Linked DNA regions of Lepisosteus oculatus. The protein of the gene in region 2 interacts with the protein of the main gene of each other region in a pairwise test. Links are inferred from orthologs where the notes say so. Each region holds a gene or a part of one and is shown on either strand. Other genes may lie near its edges.

Region 1 (6,965 bases), on a different chromosome or scaffold from region 2:
CCTCATAGAAGCATAGAAGCATAGAGATCCAAAAGACCAGGACAGTGATTCACCGAGCCCAGTCGGCTTGGCTCCCTGCATGAGCAGGGAGGTACGAGACTACGAGAGCATAGATGTCGGTCATCGAGTAGCAATAATAATGCGCACACAGCCAAGCTGGACCTCTTGCTGTCTCATGTGGTCAATTAAGCATTTTTCAATTGATGACCGTGTTTGTTTTATCATCGGACTTTAGGGGGAATTTAATTTTTTGTGTGCAGTTTAATTTCCTGGTTGTATAACCTGTGTGCGCGCACGCACGGACATAGCTGAGAGGGAACGGTCTCCAACCGTCACCCACTGCCCTCCATTTTGTTCCTCTTTTCTGTTTGATCCACTATCACGGCCCCAAGGGAAGACCCCAGCCCAGCCGGTGCTCCCTACCCTTCGTCTAGTTTCTGGATGAAGTAATAGCGCTTGTTCTCAATGGTGACAGTTCCTCTGGAGCAGATACACATGGCATGGCCCATGGTCCCTGTAACATCCTTTGATCACTGAGGAAAGAAAGAGCACATGGGTTCTAGATCATTCGTGCAAAAGCAGAAAAACTGGCTTCAAGAGTGTTAATTTACTCGAGCGAGTGCTACATTCACGAACCACACAGGCAGAGCAGCTAGCCAGGACGTCGAAGCTGATCAGCACAGTTCAGATGTTAGCCCTGGGCAACCTCTTGACTTCAGAGGCAGAGGACTCTCTTTTGGAATCTAAACTTATATTTTAAAATGACAGTTTCCTCTTGGGGATGGCACAGGGGCTCAATGGTTAGCATTGCTGCCTCAAATTGCTGGGGCCCTGGGTTGAATTCTGAAACGGCGGTGCTATCTGTGTGGAGTTCGTATGTTCTCCAGTTTCCTCCCACAGAGATATACTGGAGGGTTAATTAATTAATACTGGAGCTAAAACAGGCCCTAGCGTGAGTGTGTGCACGTCTTCTTCTGCGTCTGTTTGCCTGCCTTGCACTGGACTGGCATCCAGCCCGGGGCGTGTCCTGCCTTGCACCAGTTGCATGCTAGGACAGGATAAACGAAAGGCAGACCATCTCTTTTAAAGGCATTTAAATCAAGACAAGAAAAGATTTATGCTTTCTAAACTAGAGACAACTAACAAAAAAGGTAACACCTAAAATTGTTTAAAATATGGGATGCTATCCCTATTTATCCTCTTCTCAGAAGAGGGGTTCATTTTGAAGAGATGTGGCGTTTTTCCTCAAAATGCCTATTCCAGGAAGCTTTCACCACTACCGTCTCAGAACACATTCCTCCTGGTTTTCCCTCCAGCCGAGCTTAATGACTTAACGGAACTAACGAGGCACTCGATTGCCAATCTGTCAAAGTTCTTTTTGTTGTTCTACTTTTTTATTTTATGGCAATGAAATGCAGTAGTTAAAGGGCAACCACCTACACACTAAAGAGCTAAAAACAAATCAAATGGTTTGAATCAATCGTGTTATTAGGTCAATTAAAGAATCCATTTGGAAACCCAAGAGCTTGGTTTACTGTCAGGAGGCTACCCTGGATCACTGCTTCACAGCTGCTCCGACTGCTGGTGCAGGCTGTAGAGTCCAGGGGTGGTCAATCTCACACACCTGCCGATCTTCATTCCAGTTGAGCTTAATGACCTCCTAGAAGCCTTTATTGAATGAATAAACTGCTGGATTGTAACAATCGCACAAGTATTCCCCCCTCCCCAGACTCAAGAGTTTGTTTGGGATTTGATCTTAATGAGGAAAATGCAGTACTTTAAATGTCTATCTTCAATAGGTCTTAAAGCAGAAAACAGTCACACAGTTCAAATCCACCCTGTTATCAAGTCAATTACACATTAAATGGTGTAACTTTCATCTTGGCTGAAGCAAAAACACACAGTTGTGTGAATCTCCCTGACCAGGACTAGCCGATAAAGACTACACTCCCTAAACACTAATACTACATCCTGTTTATGCATTGGAATAACATGCAGTTACTGTACATATGATGCCAGTCCAAACTGTGAACCAGTACTCTTCTATTGACGAGCTGACCTAACAACCAATAGCCAGGCTTTCTGAACACATGCATAAAGAGATATCTAACTGAATAAACAAAGTATAAAATGAGTGGTGCAAGACTCGTGTTTGTGATGAATACACATTATCCACGATCCATAGAATACTGGATCACAGTGACATTTTCTAGTATATTTGAAAGTTTGTAAATTATTTCTTCAAATCATTTCAGTAATAGTACTGAATGAATATACATGTAATACGATGACTAAAAATAACCAAATTTGTTATTTGAGCGCGTCAAGAGCTGTGCTGACTGATGCACACGATTGTCTCCTGCTGGTTTTTACTACAAATGAGTAACGTAGTACCAAAATAACAATACTATAAAAATTAACTTTTCCTTAAAACACGGTTTCTATGTCACAAGAAACTTCAATATGTAGCGTTTCTATTAAGGTGGCGCTTAAAAGAAACTACCCTTTTATGCATTAACTGTAACTGAACCCATCGGTTGCGCTCCATCGTGAATAATTCATAGCCCTTATTTAAAAACAAATGACATATTACTTATGTGAACGTGCGTGTTACGACACGGGTGTAAATTCCGCACATTCATTTGAAATAAAAAAAACTTACACAGTGCGCATATAAAACATCCCACTTTGGGCTGAACGCAAAGACCTATATGGTTTAATGCTAACGTGGCACGTACATCGCAGTTTTAAATCATAGCGACAGCATCTAACATTGTAGTAGCAGCAGCAGGGTCTACCGGGAAGAGGAATTGTTACTTAAATCTATAACCAGTCGGATATAATCTCGTGCAGTGAATGATTTAGACCGCCACCGAAAGAAAACACATTGGATCTAACGTTACCGTGGGACAGAATGTTATATCTCCGTCCTTTTAAACGTTTCTCTCCCGTCTCTCTCGCTTTATCTTCACCTCCAGATGATTTCCGGGTAGAGAAATTCCTCCTGCGGCCAGCGCGTCATCGACTGGAGAGACCCCGCCTCTGTTTTAAACACACAGTAACTCTCATTCACACATTTCACACATTTCATGTTAATAGTAATAATAATAATAATTGCTTACACTTATATAACGCTTTTCTGGACACTCCATTCAAAGCGCTTTACAGGTAATGGGGACTCCCCTCCGCCACCACCAGTGTGTAGCCCCCACCTGGATGATGCGACGGCAGCCATAGTGCTCCCGAACGCTCACCACACACCAGTTCTCAGTGGGGAGGAGAGAAGAGTAATGAAGCCAGTTCATAGATGGGGATTATTAGGAGGTCATGATTGGTAAGGGCCAATGGGAAATTTGGCCAAGGTAACACCCCTACTCTTTTCGAGAAACGCCCTGGGATTTTTAACGACCACAGAGAGTCAGGACCTCAGTTTTACATCTCATCCGAAGGACGGCACCTGTTTACAGTGTAGCGTCCCCATCACCATACTGGGGCATTAGGACCCACATGGACCGCAGGGTGAGCACCCCCTGCTGGCCCCACTAACACCTCTTCTAGCAGCAACCTTAATTTTACCCAGGAGGTCTCCCATCCAGGTACTGACCAGGCTCACACCTGCTGAGCTTTAGTGGGTTGCCAGTTGTGAGTTTCTAAAGGTTATGGCTGTTGTCGAGATGTTGGGGAGGGCAAGCGTAGTACTGTATTGTTTAAAACCCAGTTAGCGTTTGCCATTATTGATAGAATGCACGTGTAGGTTCAGACAGTATATATTTGTGGACATCCTATGTCAACACGTTTCCAAATAAACATCTGGCTATGCAAAAACGGTTTATATTGTTTTGAAAATGTATCCATTTTCAATAGTAGTTACGGAGTATTCAATTACAATACAATATATTAAGTATTCAATAATTACAACATATTTAATAGCCAAAATTCATTTGGAACCATAGCACAGTTTGCGAATGGTCCCATTCATGAACAATTGTCATTGTATGAAACGGAGATTAAATTATTGCATACTACAGCAAAGCTATTTCAAAACTAAGAAGACTGTAGCGCGGGCAAAATGGGGTTAAGGAATTAATCCTGTGCTGCTTAATCAATTGATTTTTCTATGTTTTAAATGTGTTATGTTTGGAGAGTTTTATGAGTGAGGGTACAATGAGCCAAACCTGTCAAAAGTGGGTGGGTGTCCTGCTATATTCTGTATGTGGTGCTACATTAAGTCACTATACTTTTCCGCAGTTTGTTCTGTTTCTTCAGTGGCATTTAACTACTCCTTGATGGACAACTGTCTTACTTCTTTCTAAAACTTTACAAAATACAGTGGATAAGATAAGGGTGAAATGTGCTGTAAGTACTGGTCCCTGACTAAATAACATAGTGGCTGGAGAACCACAATATTTGTTTTTGAAATTGATTATATTAGTATTTACAGAATTACATTTCATTTACAGTATATAAGTTATTAACTGAAGTTCAGGAGGGCAAACAATGACAAATCAATCTCACACAGCTGGAATTAATCACCATCATTACAGAAATTGGCTGAATATACTGAACTCCAATACCTCCCTTTCTGCCAGCAGCCATATCCTCCGGCAACTCACAACTGGCAGCCCACTGAAGCTCAGCAGGTGTGAGCCTGGTTAGTACCTGGATTGAAGACCAGCTAAGGTTGCTGCTGGAAGAGGTGTTAGGGGGACCAATAAGGGAGCTCACCCTGCCGTCTGTGTGGGTCCTAATGCCCCAGTATTAGGCACACTATGCTGTAAAAAGCCACCATCCTTTGGATGAGACGTAAAACCGGGGTCATTAAAAATCCCAGGATGTTTCTCGAAAACCCCGGCATCCTGGCCAAATTTCTCACTGGCCTTTACCAATCATGGCCTCCTAATAATCCCCATCTCTGAATTGGCTTCATCACTCTGCTCTCCTCCCCACTGATAGCTGGTGTATGGTGAGTGTACTGGCGCACTATGGCTGCTGTTGCATCATCCAGGTGGGGGCTGCACATTGGTGGTGGTGGAGGGGAGTCCCCATTACCTGTAAAGCGCTCTAAATGGACTATCTGTAACAAGCACCCCCTACCCCACCCCATTTCCACTTTGCAGCTGCCCCTTGGTTCAGTCAGTCTGAATGGAGCCCGAGTCTCCTCGTCCTGTGGGAAGGAGACCAAGAGGGTTAATGGAAACTTTTTCACCATGTATTCCAAGCATTAACAAAGCAAAAAAAAATACAAAAGGTAGAACCCCCCCCCCAAAAAAAAAGACTTAAACATCAATTAATTCATAGCTAGTTTATATACAGTACTTAGGAAATTTCTACAATGTATAATCATACAGTACTATACAGAAATAAACATTTTTTTATTATAAACATTTCAATATAAACTGAAATGTATCAAATCCTACATTTTTGAAAATCCAGTATACTTGCCATTTTGAATGTCAGTATTTCCATACTAAGATTATCTAATGTTATCTTAGTCCAATACGGAAAACAGAGCAATATTAACAACGTATTTTTGATACGACTAAATTGATAAAACAGTTTTAATTTAAAAAGGTATCAGTATAAAATGGGAAAAGTCACCAATTAAAAAATTTTGGAGCATAAATGAAATGGAAATTGTCAAATTAATTCTAAAATTTTAGTTGTTTCATTTAAAAAAACTAAAAACTTAGGACAAGTAACGAACACTTGAATAAGAATAATAAACATGTGAGTAAGATTCATTCTATCAGTATTTGTTAACAAAAAATGGAAATTGTTAAGTCTGGAAGTCTGAAATGAAACTCCTTTCTTCTCCAAGTTGAACTTTTTAATGTTAGCAGTAATTATGAAATATAAATACACACAGGCAAGTACAAGAAATAAATGAAGACTCAAAACTTACAAACGAATAATAAGAGGACAACTAAAAGTTAAAACAATAAAGTCTCACAAAGAAATAATATTGCACGAAGCAAAAAGAAAATTAAAAGTAACTACTAAAGTGAGGGGTTTCTTTTACTACAATTAATGGTACTATTATACTTCATTGTGGTTAATGTTTTCGGGAAGTTTTTATTGTCCTGTGTGGTGGGAAACTAAACTGGTGAATGTGAATGAACAGATCATGTACTGTAACTCACTTGTTTATTTTTAAACCAGCTGTTCAGTTAGCAACAGAAGCCGTGAGCTGCTGGCTTTCAATAAATGCTGCATTGCCTGTGTTTCTAATATACAGTTGTTTATATTATATTACGTTGATGTCCTCCACTAGCCTTTTAAGAAGTCCTGTTCTGAAGTAGCGGATTTGATTTTTGCTGTTCTCTGAGGGCTTTCCCACACATCTCAGTTTCTTACAAGCAGAAGTGAGTTAGCGCAGCATCAGAGACAGAGGGCCGACAGCCTGCCCATGGATGTGACTGGAGAGGAATCACAGCAGCCAGGGTCCACAGGGACTTTGGGCTCTTCAAAGACCACAGCCACAAGTGGCCTTCTCAAGGTAAAGAAACTCTTCAACTGGGATTTATTCATACAAATCTAGACTCTTTTGAGGTACCCTTGTGATTTGGAATCAGCAATTGTGTGTGTTTTACTTCTCAGCTTGTTGTGACCAACCCTGTGATTTTCGGAAAAAGAAAAAGAAGGAAAAGTGTCACGTCTCACACTCTCCTTCGCAAACGGCGCTGCGTTCCCAAACCCACTGTTTCACAATCTCATTCCAAGCCAAGCAGCCATATCACCCTGCAACTCACAACAGGCAACCCACTGAAGCTCAGCAGGTGTGAGCCTGGTCAGTACCTGGATGGGAGACCTCCTGGGAAAAACTAAGGTTGCTGCTGGAAGAGGTGCTAGTGGGGCCACCAGGGGGCGCTCACCCTGCGGTCCATGTGGGTCCTGATGCCCCAGTATAGTGACGGGGACACTACACTGTAAAACAGGCACCGTCCTTCAGATGAGATGTAAAACTG
Region 2 (7,547 bases):
CAAGGAGACCGAGTCAGAAAAGGAGCAGGAAACACACGACAACAACCGCAGCGGGACTGGTCACTTTCAGAGCAGGTTCAAGTGGGGCCGTTTCTCTACCTGGGGAGTTGGAGGCTGAGGAAGCGCAGGCTCCGTGGGCTGAGGCGGGGTGTTTTCGGGGGACGGGGACTGGGAGGGCCCGAGGGTTAATGGAGGCACCTGGAGAGTCGAGGGACCCGGTGAAGGCGCCCCGCCCTTGTCCTCCTCCTGGATGGAGGGCATGCGGGAGGCACTGGCCCGGCCCTCGGGCAGCGGCCTGGACTCGTGAAAGGAGACGGCGTAGGCCAGCCGCCCGCAGTGCATGGCCAGGTAGTCGGTGTGGACGCGCAGCAGGGCCATGATGCCGCTGTACTGGTACAGCTCCTCGTCCCGGCGGGCGTACAGGTTGCTGCGGGGCGCGTTGGTGCGCGGGTAGATGGCGAAGAAAGCTTCGCCGGATTTGGTGCCATTGCTCGGCTGCAAGCCTGTGAGCCGCAAGGCCTCGACCTTCAGCCTGACGTCGTGGTTTTTATCATTCTTGCAGAAACCTGGAAATGTACAAGGAAGAACCAACACAAACTGGAATTCCAATTCCAAATTCCCGAATTAAAGCAAGCATCCGACAAAATCATCAGGATCCACATCTTTTGCATCTGTTTGGTCAGGATGAGGAGTCAACGGAGCCCGTTAATGGTCTGTGAATCTAGTTTCTGTGTCTCACTTTCTCAAGTTCGAGGCTTGGAGCTATTCATAAACCATGAAGCAATAGTCAGATGTGAATTTTTTAAGCTAAAAGGGAACCATTTTAAAATATTTATTGCGATAATCATATTTCTTTTTCTTTACATAAGACCCGCATTAAACCATGACAAGATCAAATTTGGAGACGACAGCAAAAAAAAAAATTAAACTGCAAAAAATCTCTGAACGCAATTTTCTTCTGGCAAGAAACACCTTTTTACACCAGACGATTGATCTTAAAAATGTTGCCATTACAAAAATGAAGATTTCAGAGGACAATAAAAAAATAATATTATCACATTTCCCTATATTTTAACTATTACCAATTAACCATTTAACTTTCCAAATATCCCCAATATGATATTTCTAAATCTTTTCTCAAATTTATTTTTGGGTAACTCATGTTCAAATTCAAACAACGTTTCATACAGGGATACAGATTTGAAAAAATATTGAAAATTATTCTATTTTTAAAAAGCACTGCTCGTTAGTGAACATGTTCAGAGGTGTTCCATGTAATTACAGCCATTTCAGACAAGCGTGTTATATTAGAATTTCTTGAAACAGCAGTGACATGCATTAATTAACTTTTCGTTATAACACAGAGGAGCTCTCACCTCTCCTGTAAGGTGTGTGTGAGAGACAGAGGAACTTGTCAGTAGTGATATATTCTAGAGAAATGCAGCAAGATCTTACCAGCAGTTTTTTTTAATGGATTTAAGATGCATGGCTGAAATGATCAGGAATATCAATTCATAGCCAGATTTATTCAAAACAAACTGCAAACAACACTCCAGTAGAGATTCTGTACTTTTATCTGATATTTCATTCTTCTTAGGTTACAATTATCCATTTCTAAATCAGTCATACAGCAGATTGTCGGACATTTTGATTTTATTTTTTTCAGCCATAGCAATCAACTCACTGCCACTTAAGTTAAAACGTTTACATTTAGCAGTTTTAGGTCTTCAAAACCATTCATAAGCCTAGTGGCACCACACTGTTCTCTGCCTGTACACCTAGACACAAAGCCACAGCCTCAGCCAAAAAAAATATCCATATAACAACCAGGTTAATTTGGCGCTGAAAAGTAGAAAGACGACTCTCGCATTCAAGCCTATTCATCCATTTAAGATACTCACATTACTTGGCTAAAAAAAAGGACTCTTTGACACTATAGCAGGGGTGTAGTGGATCCAACTCTGGTCATTAACAGCCCAAGTCCAGCAGGTTTTACAGAAAGGTTTCTTTAAAATCTCCATATTTTTAAGAATAGGAAAGAGGTCTCAGCTTGTCCATTTAACAATTTTTACCAATTAGGTAATTTTACCCATTAAGGTAATTAAGGTCATATTACATAATAAAAATTCAAAAAGGATCAGGGGACAATCAGTTAAGACATGGCTGCATACTGTACTTTCATGCACACAACGATGTAATAATCACCCTGGATTGAGGATGTGGATGCTTGCAGTACCTTTGGGCAGGGTGAAGAGAAACTTGTAGCGAAGGCAGGTGTAGATCTCATCCAGGCTGGCTTGCTCAATGACATCAGTGGTCCCAGTGCTGGTGTAGAGGACGTCACCATCATTGACCCTCAGCTGCACGCCAGTCCCACAGTCCTCCAGCAGGGGGTTCTCCACGGTCAGCCTCAGCACGTAACTGCCAAGCTCGTTGAACTGAACATTCACCACCTCAAACTCAAAGTCCAGCTCCTTCTCCTCGATCTTGAGACGACTTCTCTGCATCGCTGCCCGTCCAGGGGTGGACTTGTGGGCAGTAACAAAAATCTACAAAAAAGGCATGTGCTTTTTTACTTTTTGTCCCATGAGAAAGATTAAAATGATATGGTATTCACAGCACAATTTCAGATAGTAACTGTACCAGTTGCCAACAGCTGTACTTTATAAATTAGTTTGGCAAAATGGATCTTGTCCACACTGGTATCTGAAGGCAAAAGCAATCACTGTGAAGGATACACAACAGTAAAAGACGTGATCATTTCTGACAACGGCCATTATAATACATTCCAGTAATATATAATAGAAACAAGTAGACAAAAAAATGAAAAGATTGATTTTGAGAGGAGAAAACAAGCTGAAATTATACAATGCACGCCCCGGTTACCAGGCTAAACAATCATCCAGGACTTCATTCTACTTCTAGAAATACACAAACACCAGACATCAGAGAATCTCACCTTTCTGTCGGTTCTGAAACTGGAACAAAAGGTTGGCGTAAAAGGGGGAGATTGTGAGATCGGCTGCAGGTCAGGTTTTGAAAGTTTTCACCTGGACATTTGTTATGCTTGCAGCTAAGGAAGCCAGCACTAAGCCAATCCCACTGTGTCTTGGAAGCAAACAATGCAGGTGATTTGAATGAAGCTGTTTCCTTTCAACAAACCTCAGTGATACACAATGTGTCGTGTCTACTTCCACTGTGAACAAAGGCCAATGCACAGTATATGATCCATCAGTTTTCACATTGTATTTACATCTTACAGTTAGGGGAAAAATGCCAATGACATTCAAAAGGGGAGACTGTGAGACCGATTGGAGTCAAAGTTTTTTTAGTTTTCACCTTTGCATTTCTTAATCAGCTACAGCCTTCTACAGTACATTTAAGGTTTCAAACGCCAGAGTTTCTAGGTTACAGCGGTGTACATGTATAGTGTAGGTTTACCTTACAAAAATTAATATAAACTGAAACATAAGAGAGGTTTCAAAGGAGGCCTACACAGCCCATTTGGTTGGTAGTAGCTAATTAAAAGTATTACATATCGATCAAACACTAACCTATTGTGCTTTTAGAGTATCAGTTCCTTTGTGACTGATAAAAGCCACACCTTTTTTTTTTGACTTGATGTATATTCATCAGGTGTCAGTGAAGTAACCTTATTTAATTAATCCGGTTATTTAGCGCTATTGTGTGCTCACAGCGACAGTGGACATAGTTTAAAGTTTCACCTGAGATTGCATCATGTGCGCTGACAATGTGACTTGAAGATCACTAGCAAACAAGTTTCTGACCTATGAACTACATGCTGGGAGCTTCGTATGTGGACTTTATTACTTTTTTTCGTCCAAACTCGTTTGTATTATGGAAGGTTAATTTGAAATTATAAAGTGCTTCTTTAGAAACTATTGTCTGCGCAAAAACAAATGACCGGTAAGCGGGGAATGACAGGTAAAGACTTTGCTATTTTAAAGTAACTAATTTGTGATTTAAATAAATCGCATACCCTTCCTTTTACCTGAAACTGCACGCATGTGTTTGGGAAGCACACAGCATTTCTGAATGTGCCGAGTAAACAGAATAGGTGTTGATAGCGAGTGAATTATTACGTGATCAATGATTAGTCTACACGAAATTGTTTATCCACGTGTTCACCGTTAAATTAGTTTCATGTAAAAAAGACATGTTTATCATTCAGATTAATTTTCTAATTTTTCTTAACGATATTGATTTTATACAGTATGTTTATAGTCTAAATGTGGGTGAATTTTTCCATTAAAACACTTTTTAATACCAACAATCTTAAAGAGAATGTTAATTCTAGCTAAAATTACTATACAACAATAACTGTACTTAACTATTTACATTTGATTGTTTTATATTCTTACATAATTAAGCTTGGGTTCAGTGCAAGCCGATGATTATCAAGTTGCTTATTGAGTAAAGAGTGTTCCAAATTACCTGGCCAACTAAATCTTTAGAAGCAGCCGTCTGATTTTTTTAACTTCTCCAGATTTTATAGCCAATAAAGAGACTAACGAGAACGAAATCCATGACAAGGGGGGTTAACAAACATGGTTTATATAAAATTCTCATTCAAATTAAAATTATTAAACCACCCTTAATAGAATTCGTTTTATGTGTTAATATCATTTCTGTGATTTAATGCCGAGATTACTAGAATTAGTTAAGCGAGTTAGACGTGTTGTTGTTTTTTTGTAACTGACATGTATTCAAGTGTAATTTAAGGATATGTTATGAATAATTACTTTAGTAACATAGCCCTTTGTATTATTACTTTAGCTCATCCGGTAGTCTTTGAAAACAACACACGCACAATGCAGTCGATAGTTTCGTCAACACAGAGCATACAGTACTACCCGAACCGAACAGACATTGTCTTGGCAGAAAGCTTAAAATTGTGATTTTGTGTTAAATATCACAACGACTTCGGTTCTGTGTGGTGTTAAAACGCTATGGATTCGATAGCGAATGTTGTTAGAACAGGTATTAAATGTCATTCGTAATGTCGTGTTCTTGAGAGAATTATGTACCACTGAAACTTAAAACGGGAAAACCGTAGCCAAGTTTCGTGCCACCCTCTTTCACACAACTCCCAGAAAGATACGGCTTCTGGCAGCAACTGTAACTACCCATCCGTTACAAACATGGGGACTGTAAGCTTGTGAATTGCTTATGAGCACATACTGTAGGTCACATAATAAGCATCCCTTTAATGAAAGCAAGATTGTCTCTGATGTGGTTTTCAAAGTCGGCTTCAGTCAAAGCTACCGCAGAGGTTTCAGAAAGTTTGAGAGCGGGGCGGGGTGAGGGAGAGTTCTCCATGCTCACCTGTGCAATGCTAAATCCGAGTGACGATTTTTCCCCTCTAGTTTTCAGACCATAAAAATAAAAAGGCCCATTGTTGGGATCTGCAGAAGATCAAACAGTAGACATCAGAGGCAGTAGCTCTGCTTACTGTCTGGTCTCTTTATTGAAAAAGTAATGTATATACATTCTGAATCAGGAGCACAACTGAAGTCCTTTGTTCTGTGGCTGAGGAACAGGATTTTTATTGCTGCATATTACAGTACATCAGAGGAGATGGTGATTTGGGGTTGTGCTTGCATGCTTTCTGCAAGGGGAAAGACGTTTGACTTTTGTAAATAACACCTAAATATGTAAGGCCTAATTTATGTGGTAAATGGAGAACTGTAAGATGGAAAAAGACGTATTTTACTGCCGGATGTTATCTATGGGAGTGAGTTTAAACCTGAAGCATACCATACTTGTTGGAATCTGTCACTATTCTATCTGGACAGACAATAGAGAAGCAGTCAGATTCTCAGCATAGGATTCACCACATGATTCCCTATGCCAGAGAAGTGTGCTGTTTTGTAAAGTTGCGCTTTTGTGTGTAAAATATCTTTTGGACCTCTACATATCTCTATAAACACTGGGTGTTTCATGTACACTAACACCCTTTTATGTAATGGTCACGTGTTTATCAAGAACTAATTTGCATTGAAAATAAATCTTTACAAATCTTTGAAGGTAGTGAGATAACGGAAACCTTTGATAGTGGATGGGTCTGTCATAATCAAAGTATAATATTCGTGTCATATCCATAGCTATCATATTCAAAGTATACCAGTAACCTAGACATTACAGTAGGTCATTTACAGTGACCATTTGAGTTTTGAAAAGTAATTATTTTTTTCCAATATTTAAGGCTGTTACCTACTGTATATTTTTTGTTAAGAAAATGGTATGTTAGATCCATGAATTGGAATACCACATCTGTTTTTTTTAAACTATTTGTAGAAACTGTAATCTATGTTCATTATTTATGTCATAATTTTCTTTGTTTTTACCTGTCTAGTATACAGTAAAAATATTTTATCTTAACTTTTTAAACAACTCTTAGGTGTGTCGTGGATGTCTGTAGTTTTTAGATTGCTAAATACATATTTGTTACCTGGTTGTTTTTCTCTGTTCTGTTTCTATCTAGTGTTCAAGAACTTAGATTTCAGAGTTCGGTGGTTGGCAGCATTTTACCAGCTGGTTATGTGGACAATATTATCATGGCAGAGAGATATTTATCTCTTTTTTTTTTAATTAAATGCTTTGCTTTGTCAATTGGATGTCTAGTTAAACAGCATGGGACCCGTTTTATTAATGGCCAATGTAACTGTTCCCTGGAGGAGCTGAATGATTAGGTTGGATATGAGGTCATTATGGGGAACATAAATCTTCCTGCATTCACAGCATTGGTGTCATTTTGATCAAAAGCTTTCCCTGCTGGAAAAAGGTTAGAGCAATAGAGAGAATCGCATTGCTGTTAAGCAAAGACATAGTGTACACCAGTGGCGAGTTGCGCTCCACAGTCGTTAAAACAAACTAATTTCTTTTGCATAAATTAAAGGAATTCAAAGTCTGTGCTGAGCTCAATTGTGTCCTGATTTGCTTGAGGTCATGTCTTTAAAAACCAAACGATTGGAAATGAAAAGTTTGTTATGGCCAGCTGGGATAGAATGGTTTTTGAAATTGGGAGAACTGCCTCCATCTTACTCACAATGCTATAAGAGTATTGATTATGTTGATTGAAAAATGACTTGTGACATAGAATAGACCCCTCCTAGACCCTACAGTATTTTGTTTACAGGCATAGCAGGATGAATTCATGGTCATGTGATCAGGGTGCCTGCTGGCACATACTGCTATGTCTTTATGGAAGCACTACACTTGGTCTTTAAAATTAAAAGCTTTTCAAATCTATTGTATAAAAATTGAAACAGGGCACTCGGCCTTCATGAATTAGAAGCATAATATTGGTTAAGGCAGATGCTGAAATCTGTAACCAAATTAGATATTGTTTATTTTTTAATTTAACTTGGCCATGCTGTTTATTTACTTATGTTTAGACAGTGCCTTTAAATTGTATTGATTCATTATGCTTTTCCAATATGCATCACATCCATGTACAAATAGCTACAGCTCAATATAACTGGCCAAGACAGTATATAGTGGTGTAATAAGTTATCTAAAAAACA

What was found.
Region 1: the proteins of ccdc33 (region 2) and stk16 interact in a two-hybrid assay, tested with the Homo sapiens proteins (2 studies listed by BioGRID and IntAct). The two-hybrid records come from large-scale screens. The link is inferred for Lepisosteus oculatus from reciprocal best matches to the Homo sapiens genes CCDC33 and STK16.

Annotation. Positions count from the first base shown.
Region 1 is NC_090707.1:32,206,147-32,213,111, forward strand, and holds the start of stk16 (serine/threonine-protein kinase 16), read right to left. Parts: upstream 3,013-6,965; 5' UTR 2,904-3,012; intron 534-2,903; 5' UTR 510-533; coding exon 424-509; intron 1-423. Other genes in the region: uncharacterized protein c2cd6, read left to right, coding at 6,407-6,496. UniProt on the Homo sapiens protein: Membrane-associated protein kinase that phosphorylates on serine and threonine residues. In vitro substrates include DRG1, ENO1 and EIF4EBP1. Also autophosphorylates. May be involved in secretory vesicle trafficking or intracellular signaling.
Region 2 is NC_090700.1:59,239,144-59,246,690, reverse strand, and holds the start of ccdc33 (coiled-coil domain-containing protein 33), read right to left. Parts: upstream 3,061-7,547; 5' UTR 2,960-3,060; intron 2,550-2,959; 5' UTR 2,508-2,549; coding exon 2,237-2,507; intron 567-2,236; coding exon 100-566; intron 1-99.